Linked DNA regions of Oryzias latipes. The protein of the gene in region 2 purifies or fractionates together with the protein of the main gene of each other region. This does not show direct contact. Links are inferred from orthologs where the notes say so. Each region holds a gene or a part of one and is shown on either strand. Other genes may lie near its edges.

Evidence for each region.
Region 1: the proteins of orc4 (region 2) and lrwd1 purify together in Homo sapiens (affinity purification with mass spectrometry; 3 studies listed by BioGRID and IntAct, with this or other methods). This does not show direct contact. The link is inferred for Oryzias latipes from reciprocal best matches to the Homo sapiens genes ORC4 and LRWD1.

What each region holds. Positions count from the first base shown.
Region 1 is NC_019872.2:25,209,441-25,213,845, reverse strand, and holds the start of lrwd1 (leucine-rich repeat and WD repeat-containing protein 1), read right to left. Parts: upstream 2,813-4,405; 5' UTR 2,776-2,812; intron 2,556-2,775; exon of another isoform or gene 2,477-2,555; intron 1,315-2,476; 5' UTR 1,308-1,314; coding exon 1,228-1,307; intron 792-1,227; coding exon 557-791; intron 371-556; coding exon 251-370; intron 1-250. Other genes in the region: alkbh4 (alpha-ketoglutarate-dependent dioxygenase alkB homolog 4), read left to right, coding at 2,813-2,923, 3,565-3,753, 3,880-4,401. UniProt on the Homo sapiens protein: Required for G1/S transition. Recruits and stabilizes the origin recognition complex (ORC) onto chromatin during G1 to establish pre-replication complex (preRC) and to heterochromatic sites in post-replicated cells.
Region 2 is NC_019860.2:3,473,572-3,478,089, forward strand, and holds the start of orc4 (origin recognition complex subunit 4), read right to left. Parts: upstream 2,903-4,518; 5' UTR 2,775-2,902; exon of another isoform or gene 2,769-2,774; intron 2,685-2,768; exon of another isoform or gene 2,666-2,684; intron 2,115-2,665; 5' UTR 2,109-2,114; coding exon 2,052-2,108; intron 1,967-2,051; coding exon 1,890-1,966; intron 1,739-1,889; coding exon 1,648-1,738; intron 1,575-1,647; coding exon 1,499-1,574; intron 1,417-1,498; coding exon 1,331-1,416; intron 1,249-1,330; coding exon 1,200-1,248; intron 1,120-1,199; coding exon 968-1,119; intron 897-967; coding exon 723-896; intron 1-722. UniProt on the Homo sapiens protein: Component of the origin recognition complex (ORC) that binds origins of replication. DNA-binding is ATP-dependent. The specific DNA sequences that define origins of replication have not been identified yet.

The DNA.
Region 1 (4,405 bases), on a different chromosome or scaffold from region 2:
CAGAGCAGGCAGCCTGCCAACTCTAGCCTCTACAAAACAAATATGACGTTTTCTAAATGGCATTTTTTTTGTCTGCTCCTGATTCACAACAATTTAAATAAAGAAATACTCAGAAATTCTATTTTGAACTTCATTTTCTTAACATATGTACTCCGTCATAACAAAAAAAATGACACAAGATCGAGTTTAAAAACACCAAAAACACAAATTTTAACTGAAGTTAAGTCTTTCAAAAAAGGCAGTTTCTTACCCTGGTCCTCAGGTTGTCGCTGTAGACGAATCGTAAATGATTGGCGGTTGTGCTGACGTCTTTGCCATTGAAAATCCTCAAGTTAGGCAGCAACACCATCAGCTTATAATTATCACTCACCTGCAACATAGATAACATTCAACTTCATGTCTATAAAACAAAAAGAGTGGAATTAAATACCTTTACTTTGTTAATTGCTTTAAATCCTTTTTTTAATATAATTTATGTGCCTGTGTGACATTACTGCCATTTGTTGTTCTGTGTGAAACCTTCTCTGTAAAACAGCAGAGGGGGAACAGCACTCACTGTGATGTAGAGGTTGTCATCCATCTTAAGCTCTTCCAAAGTGCTCAGAGACTCCAAGGTGGTGACATCTTCCATCTGGTTGTCGCTGAGGTCCAGGAAGAAAAGCACAGGAAGCTTCAGGTTCTTGGGGAACTTCTGCAGTCTGTTTCCAGACAGGTCCAGCCTCTCCAGAGACTGCAGACGGGACAGGAGCTTAACAGGCAGGTCCTGAAGCTGAAGACCCAGCTTAGACAGACTAAAGAACAGAGCAAAGTCAGTTCCTTACACCATACAATGTTAAATACAATGCTGTCCTCGGTTTTTTTTTTTTTTTTAAATCCTGCAATTAAAAACAATTCTATTGTAATTATGATGGCTCTACACCAGGGGTGCCCAAATCCAGGCCTCGAAGGCCGGTGTCCCGGTGTTTTCCAACCATCCTGCCATTGACGTTCCTTATTGGCTGAACATACCGGTACACGAATCAGGTAATCGACAGCAGATGAGGCAGGGTTTCTTGAAAACTAGCCTGGATTTGGACACCCCTGCTCTACACAGAATGGTTTTATTCCTAAAGAGTTTTAAATACATTCTTTGCTGCATGTCCAAGTAACTATCAGTAGTTTACTACCAAGCAAAACAAAAACACAACTACAACAGTGTAGTTGTACAAGAGCTGCACGTGTTCCTACTTTAGTGTCTTGACTTGCTCCAGTTTGTTGGTTTTTGGGGTTCCTTTCTCCAGTAAAAGTTTCTCTGTTATCTTCTCCATTGTTCGACTGCAGATACAATTCAGGAAAGGATTGACTGAATGAATGACAATACACTTTAGTTTAATCTGCACAACCAGTTAAAACAACAGAATTGAAACATATAAAGACCGAGAAACTAAGTTTCTCAAAATAGACATGACCTGATCCTGCCCAACAGTAAGAAAACACTTAGAAGGTAAACTTATGTTATAGCTGCATCTTCTGTGATGTGTCATATTGACTAAATAACGTCCTTATACTACCTCTGCAATCACTTGCAGTGGGGTGTAATGTGCTTCTTTGTTCTGCTTTGATTCAACAAATTAAATGTTAGGTTTGTAAATCTAGGTGAATGTTGTCTTACTACTTTATTTACATTTTCTGCCAAATGATGGGTCCCTCAGAGGTTTGGTTGGGTGATAATCTATAAAATTAACTAAATTAAAGTGAACACAAAGCTTATTTGAACACCACAGCCAAAAAGAGATGATGTGTTGCCACTCAAACATGTTTTAAACTAACAAAACAAAAGGTTAAAGACGTTTTATAAGTAAATTGAGCAAAACTATTTTAGCAAATCATTTTTTCCCACCTTTATTCATAAATTGACAAACATACATTAAAGCGGTAAGCACAAAACAAGAACAAAACGAGCAAAAGGGAATTAGGCACATTTTTTTTATAATAATAATAAATTTTATTTAGAATGCGCTTTATATTTTGGGTAAAATCTCAAAGCGCTACAATGAAGGCAGGATTTACAATGGTTTAAGATAAGAACAAAGTAAGACAAAAAAACAACAACAATAAAAGTACTAAAAAGCATTATTTTATTAAGATATACTTCACAATCATCATGAATAGCTTTGAGTTTAGAACTTTTGGAAATTTCGATGCATTATTTAATTATAACAAGGAAAAGTGACTGTGCAAAACGTTACATTAAGGATTGTATTTTTAGCTAAACTTATGTGATACTAAATAATGTACGTAATCTTAGTTACAAAAGATATTTTAGCCACGTTGACGGTCAAGTTGACGTTGTTGTTTGGACGCATTTTCTGGGTTTTAAAATATTTGAAGTAAATCTAACGAAAGATCGATTAAAACATTGTTGAATCTACGAATATACTCAGTTCATTAATTTGCAATTACAAGCTCGTAAAATTTGGACATAAAAAAAACTCACCAACCAAGGATACACGAACACAAACGCGACACTAAAAATTTCGCGGGGAAAATGTCTACTTCCGGGGGAAAATGTTTATATCCGGTGTGTGCTGTTTTATATACCCTGAGCTTTGACTCATAGGCAAAATAGCTTCAAAGTGAATTTGATTGTGGATAATGATAATAAAGTTAGTGAAATATGAATGTACTTATTTTGTGTGCTGCTAAAAAATTAAATGTTTACAGATAAGGTTTCTAAATCTAACTATTTTATAATTATATCCTGCGCCTCTACCTTTCAACCATACAAGCATATACCTTTAACCCACAAGACGTTAGTTCCGGTTGGCTCAGAATGATGGCTCCGGACGGCAGCGACGGTGTTTCTCAATGCGGATGTAAAGGGATCCGGCTGTGTCTTTTGTGCGAAAATCGCAAAGAAAAAGAGGGGACAAAAGATCCAAAGGTATCTGTATTTAACTAAAACTAACAATTAATTGTATTTGAACCCCCTGCATTTACCTGTTTGCGCTTCTTTCAAATGTACGGAGGTCCTCGCTGGACAAAATACATGATCTCAAAGCATCAATATGCTAGGTGAATACTTTATTTACCATGAAATTTTTAAGTTACAATTTGTTTGCTTTTGTCAGTCGTTCCGATTCATACCAATATTTTTCCCACTTGTGTGACTAAACAACAAAAAGCTAAAACAGTTATTCACGATTTCTTACGAACTTATACGAAGAAGAGTGTAGAATAACCTGACTAGTTTCTCACATTAACTTAAGTTGTTGTTTTTTTTTTAAGACTTTATTTTTTGTTGTTGAGTGTTTCTTGTTAATAATCCACAAACCTAAAACAGAATAACTTTAAACATAACAGCACATAGAACAATACACTTCACTTTGGGCGATCTAAAAAAAACACCACATTTTTAATATTTTTGTTTAAAAGCAAAATGTAATTTTCTAACATATTTGCTAAAAGAAAGAGCACATTATCTGAAGTATGTGAATGAAACTGCCTCAGTTTCCTACAAAGAGGCTAAAAGTGAAGTAATAATTTATATAAATAGACATTTGTTTACTGTTGTCTTTTTTTTAGGCGGCGCATCATTTCATCTACAATCCTGAGACAAAGCTTGCTGTCTGCAAAGATGCAGGGAGTGCATCCTTCTCGTTTCCTGGTATCTTCCTATGGGACGACTTTATATCTGAAGAGGAAGAGAAGCAGCTGATTAACTCAATGGACCAGGATGCCTGGAACCCATCCCAGTCTGGTCGAAGGAAACAGGTAATGCTCTCCCAGTCAGATTAAAAAGGTTTACATTTTTTCTTCTGAAAAGACATGATGAGAGATTTACATTGAAATTAAGTACATTGATTTATAATTTAACCATTTTTCTCATTTTGGTTGCAGGATTTTGGTCCAAAGGTGAACTTTAAAAAAAGAAAAGTGCGTGTGGGTGGCTTCAGTGGACTCCCTAGTTTGAGCAAAGAACTCGTACTACGGATGCAGCAAGAGCCATGCCTGTCTGGCTTTCAGCCAGTGGAGCAGTGCAACCTGGACTACAACCCTCAGAGGGGCTCAGCCATAGACCCGCACTTTGATGACTCCTGGCTTTGGGGGGAGCGACTCGTCACCATCAACATGCTATCAGACACCACACTCACCATGTCGCTTGAGCAGGGTCTGCCAGAGCTGGGACTGTCAGAGGAAATTCATGTGGCCGTTCGCCTTCCACGCAGATGTTTAGTCGTGGTTTACGGCGAAGCGAGGCATCGATGGAAGCACGCCATTCGCAGGCAAGATATTCACAAGCGCCGGGTGTGCAGCACCTACAGGGAGTTGTCTGCAGAGTTTCTGCCGGGCGGGCAGCAGGCAGAGCTTGGAGCTCAGCTGCTCAAAATTGCATTGGACTTTAAAGGAATTCCAATATAACTTT
Region 2 (4,518 bases):
TCCTAAATCAGGTCTCCAGAGGTACCAAGTCCATAGCAACCATTGAAAATGTTTTACGTCTCTGGCTGATGACCAGGTGAAACAAGTTTCATATCTCTATCCTTAAATAAATATCAATGCTTTCCATAGCAACCAATACTTAAGCTTGTCAGACAATGTTGCATTCAGCTCGACACGAGCATGAACCCTTTAACGTGGGAGCTGTCGCCGGTGACATGAAAATAGCACAATTAACACATAATTAACGGAATTGGGAAACGGATTGTGATGCGGAGAAAAAGCAGCTTTGCAAATGATGTTTGCACCAATATGCAACTTTTTCCCCTGAGTCAAAATCAGCCGATTTACATTGATCGCATAACTAAAGATCAAAAATAGTTGCACCGACCAGAGGTCTTTGGTGCAATTAAGTTTTTCTGCCAAATGTCTTGAACACTTATCCTCACTCAAAATTAAGCAAGACAAAAAAACAAACTAAATCAGTGAATTTTACCAGATCATGTTTCCACAGGCTCCCTAGAGGAATCAAGTCCATAGCAACCATAGATTTTTTCTTTCTTTCATGTTTTGGGCTGATAAACAAGTACGACACGTTTCATATCTCTATCCTAAAATATGTGTGAAAAGTTTCCATAGCAACGACTATTGTTGCCTGCTACACAATATCAAATGACACATTGTTAGATTCTTGATCACCTAGTGAAACATTTCACTTGGTTTACCTTTACACTGGCGTTCCACTCCTGAGCGAACCTGCTGTCGCAGAAATCATCGGAGAGGCTGAGCTGGGCCCGGACTCGGTCCAGGTACTGACTGAACGTCAAGCCGCTCAGCAGGTGGATCTGTCGGTGAGAAAACCTGGACTTCACCCGCTTCTCTAGCAGCTCCAGGACATCCTGAGAAGACAGGAAGACGTCAAAGGGGTGCTACTCTTCCCTGACGAAAAAGTAAAAAAAAAGAGACCCACCAGCCTGCAGGTGAGTCCCACCACGGCGACGGGCGCCTGGGTGGACTGCGACACGTCAAACAGGTTGTAGAGCAGCGTTTGGTTCTTGTGGTGGGCGAACAGGTCGAACTCGTCCAGGACGAACAACACGGGGCGGCTGCTGGTGCGATCACCTGACGGAACCACAAACACAACCAGAGTGCTGGAGAGGACCGGATTTCACCGTCATCCACTTAAATTTAACCCGTCCAACCTTTCTTCAGAGCTTCCAGCAGGAAAGCCAAATTCTCAGCGAAGCTTCCCTGAAACGGGGAAAAAAAAAGAAAACATTTTTGGATCCGATTTAAGGCAAAAATGGCCGCCAAACTAAAAAGAAAAACATACGAAAACTTTCTCTCCAACGACGTTCTCCAGGTGGAGCTGCCTGGTTATTTCTTTAAGTGCAATTCTGTCGTCGGTCTGTAGGAGGCCTGGAACAAAAAACAAAAACAAAGAAAATTACTAAATTACTAGAGGAGCAGGCAGATTTGGAGGACACAAAGTCGCAATTACCGTTAAGGTGGACCTGCAGAAGGTTTTCCTGCACCTCCTTCTCCTCCAGCAGCTCCTGCAGAACGCTCCTCAGCAGCTGCGCAAACGCAGACGCCGTCAGACAACCAGCACTGCCCACCCTCAGCACCCCTCCCTCGCCGCCTCCTCACCGAGCTTTTCCCCGCTCCCCTCGGCCCGACGATCAGCACCGAGTTGCTCTCCCCGTAGACAGCGGTGCGCCTCAGCAGCTCCTCCAGGTGCCTGTATGGGCGGAGCTTCAAGTGAGCTTTGACAAACGATGGGGGGTGGGGCACCAAACTAGGTCGGCGCCGTCAGCCTGAACTGGGTCACAGAGCTGCGGGTCGTCTTTGCTTTAATCAGACACATAGCTAAAATAAAAATAAAAACCCACTTGTGTTGAGCTCCAACTCCATCGAGTCCTTTGGCTAGTTTTTGCTGGCAGTATCGCTCCCTCAAGATCCGTTGAACCTAGAAATTCATAAAAACACAAACAAATTCATTAAGTTCCAAGTCACTACCACGCAAACTCAAGGTTTAAGGAAGGGATACAAGCCTGTGTGATGCATTCTCCCAGGGGCTGATGGGAGATTTTCCCTTTCCTCTTACTCATGATGGCCTGACGAGAAAAAAGTGCTTTGTTAATAAAGTTTGATTTAAATCAAATGATCAGACTTTGAAGTAAACAAGTTAAAACGTTAAAATGATCCCTTTAAGTATCCCACCTGACGTCACATTGGAAGCCGAATTGTAAATAAAGTTTTATGTATCAAGAATGAAGTCTTTTGTGTTTGTAGACATATAAACCCCGCCCAAAAAAAGGAATTTCTATATTTAAAGAAATGTAAACAGGAAGTCCGATGTTCCTAGTGCCGGGTAGATACTGTAAAACATGTTGCGTTGCTGTTGTATGAAAAGGGCTTTATAAATAAAGTTTGATTTGATTCCAATGATTGGGCTTTGAACATGTTAAACCGTCAAAATGAAGCCTTTAAGTGAATTTGCTGAGGTTATAATGTCAGCCGAATTGTAAATAAAGTTTTATTTATCAAATATAAACAGCGCATTCCGTTTCTAGACGTAAGAAATACGTCGTGGGAAAACATTATTTTAATGTAACCACATTTAAAACGGAAGTTCGGCTATTCGGTGATCCTGCTGGAGATGAACCTAAAAGAAACATCACGTTGAAGAAAAAAACACCCCCACGTGATCACGAAATGTTGAGAAGTTGAGCACAAAAAGTTGCATTTAGTAAACAAAAGTTGTTTACACTCACGCGGCTCCAGAAAACACCAAACAGTAGCCCCCCGGAATCTTCCCGCGACTTTTGCGACACACGAGATGACTACTTCCGGCATGGGCTGAATCTCCGGTCTCTGATTGGCTGGAAGAAAACTCGTGATTGACTGAAAGCGGATGAGTATATTTTTTCTTTAAAATAAAGGTTAGTAAAACGCTTTAAAACATCAGAAACGGCATTAAAATATGTAAATAATTGATAAATAATAATATTATAATGTTGTTTCAAACAGAAGCATGGTTTGTGAGTTTTCTCAGTGCTGTGTCCGTTTTTAAATTACATTTAATCTAAATCCCATGATGACTTTTACTGATTCATTTTCATTGGAAATGTGCAATTTCTTTTTTTTTTTAATTGGTTTTATTACCAAACTAAGAAAAAAGTTTGGGAAAAAAATAATAATTTTGGGGGGTCTATTTTTCATTTTTTCTTTATGATGCAAATAAAAGAGATTATCTCGATGTAAACACAGATTTATAAAACATAAAAATTTACTTTATTTTGTTTAAATATTTTAATTTTGTTGTTAATGACTAGGGAAAAAAACAAAGTAACAAAAAAGAACAAAAATCAAAGAAAACCAGTTAGCTTTTTTTGCCACCTTTTTTATTTTTACCTTAATGCTTTTCTTCTTTAATGTCCCTTTAGGAGCTCCGTAGAATTCTTCTGAGCTACCAGTCTACGTTCATATGACCACTTCCAATAAAAAGTCTATGTAAACAGGTGTAAATGCATGTGACAGGCCTCCAAGTTCAAAACATAAATAGGCAAGTTTTTATGGCCATTTTTGGGCTCGACTAACGAAATGTTCATTGAATGTGTCTTAAAGCGGGTCAAACTTTGACCAATCGGGGCCCTCGGATCTGGTTGTGATGAACAAACGGCGTCCCTTTTGATTCATGGAAGAATTAACATGTTGAAAAGTCTTTCATACCGGAATAGAGCTGTGCTAGAAAAAAAACAAAAAAGAATTCCCAAGATTCGCACCACTTCAACATTTTGCACTAACCCACTACCAACTGTAGATGGCGCACATGCGCTAGTAAACAGTGAACAAAAAAAAGTAGAGGAAGAATCCCTCCCTGCTTGTCCATTGTGAAAACCGTGGGCTAGACGCACGTTTAAGAACTTGCATTCAAGTAACCACATCCAAAAAAATAAAAGTGTATAAACACGTATTTCGGACTTCCAAGTTTAAAACGTTCCCATTTACATAGAGATGCGCAAATTTCTACAACCATGGGCTAAATGACCAATTCGTCATTTCGCGCTAAGCCTCTTTCAACTGTAGGTGGTGGTAAGGCGCTAGTCAACAGAAGCCCCTTCTCGCTAGTCCATTGTGAACATTGTGGACTAAACGCGTGTTCAAGAAATCACGTTTAGCCTTTTCTTTTTCTTTTTTACACTCGCCACACCTCCCTCGGCAATTTGCATTCAAGAGGCCACTTCCGATAAAAACTCTACGTAAATGTGTGTCGATGCACGTTTCGGGTTTCTGTGTAGCTACGCAAGTCTTTACGACCATTTTTGTGCTGGACATGCTAAACTTGAACGCATGTTGCAAGTTAAAGTGGGTCCAACTTTGGCCAACCAGGGACTCTTATTTGGTCGTGACGTATGGACGGCGTCCAGTGCGAACACCGTCGGCTAAACGCACATTCTAGAACTCGCGTTCAGCACGTTTTTGAACGCTTTGACTGACCGTAGCTTTAAGCTACGT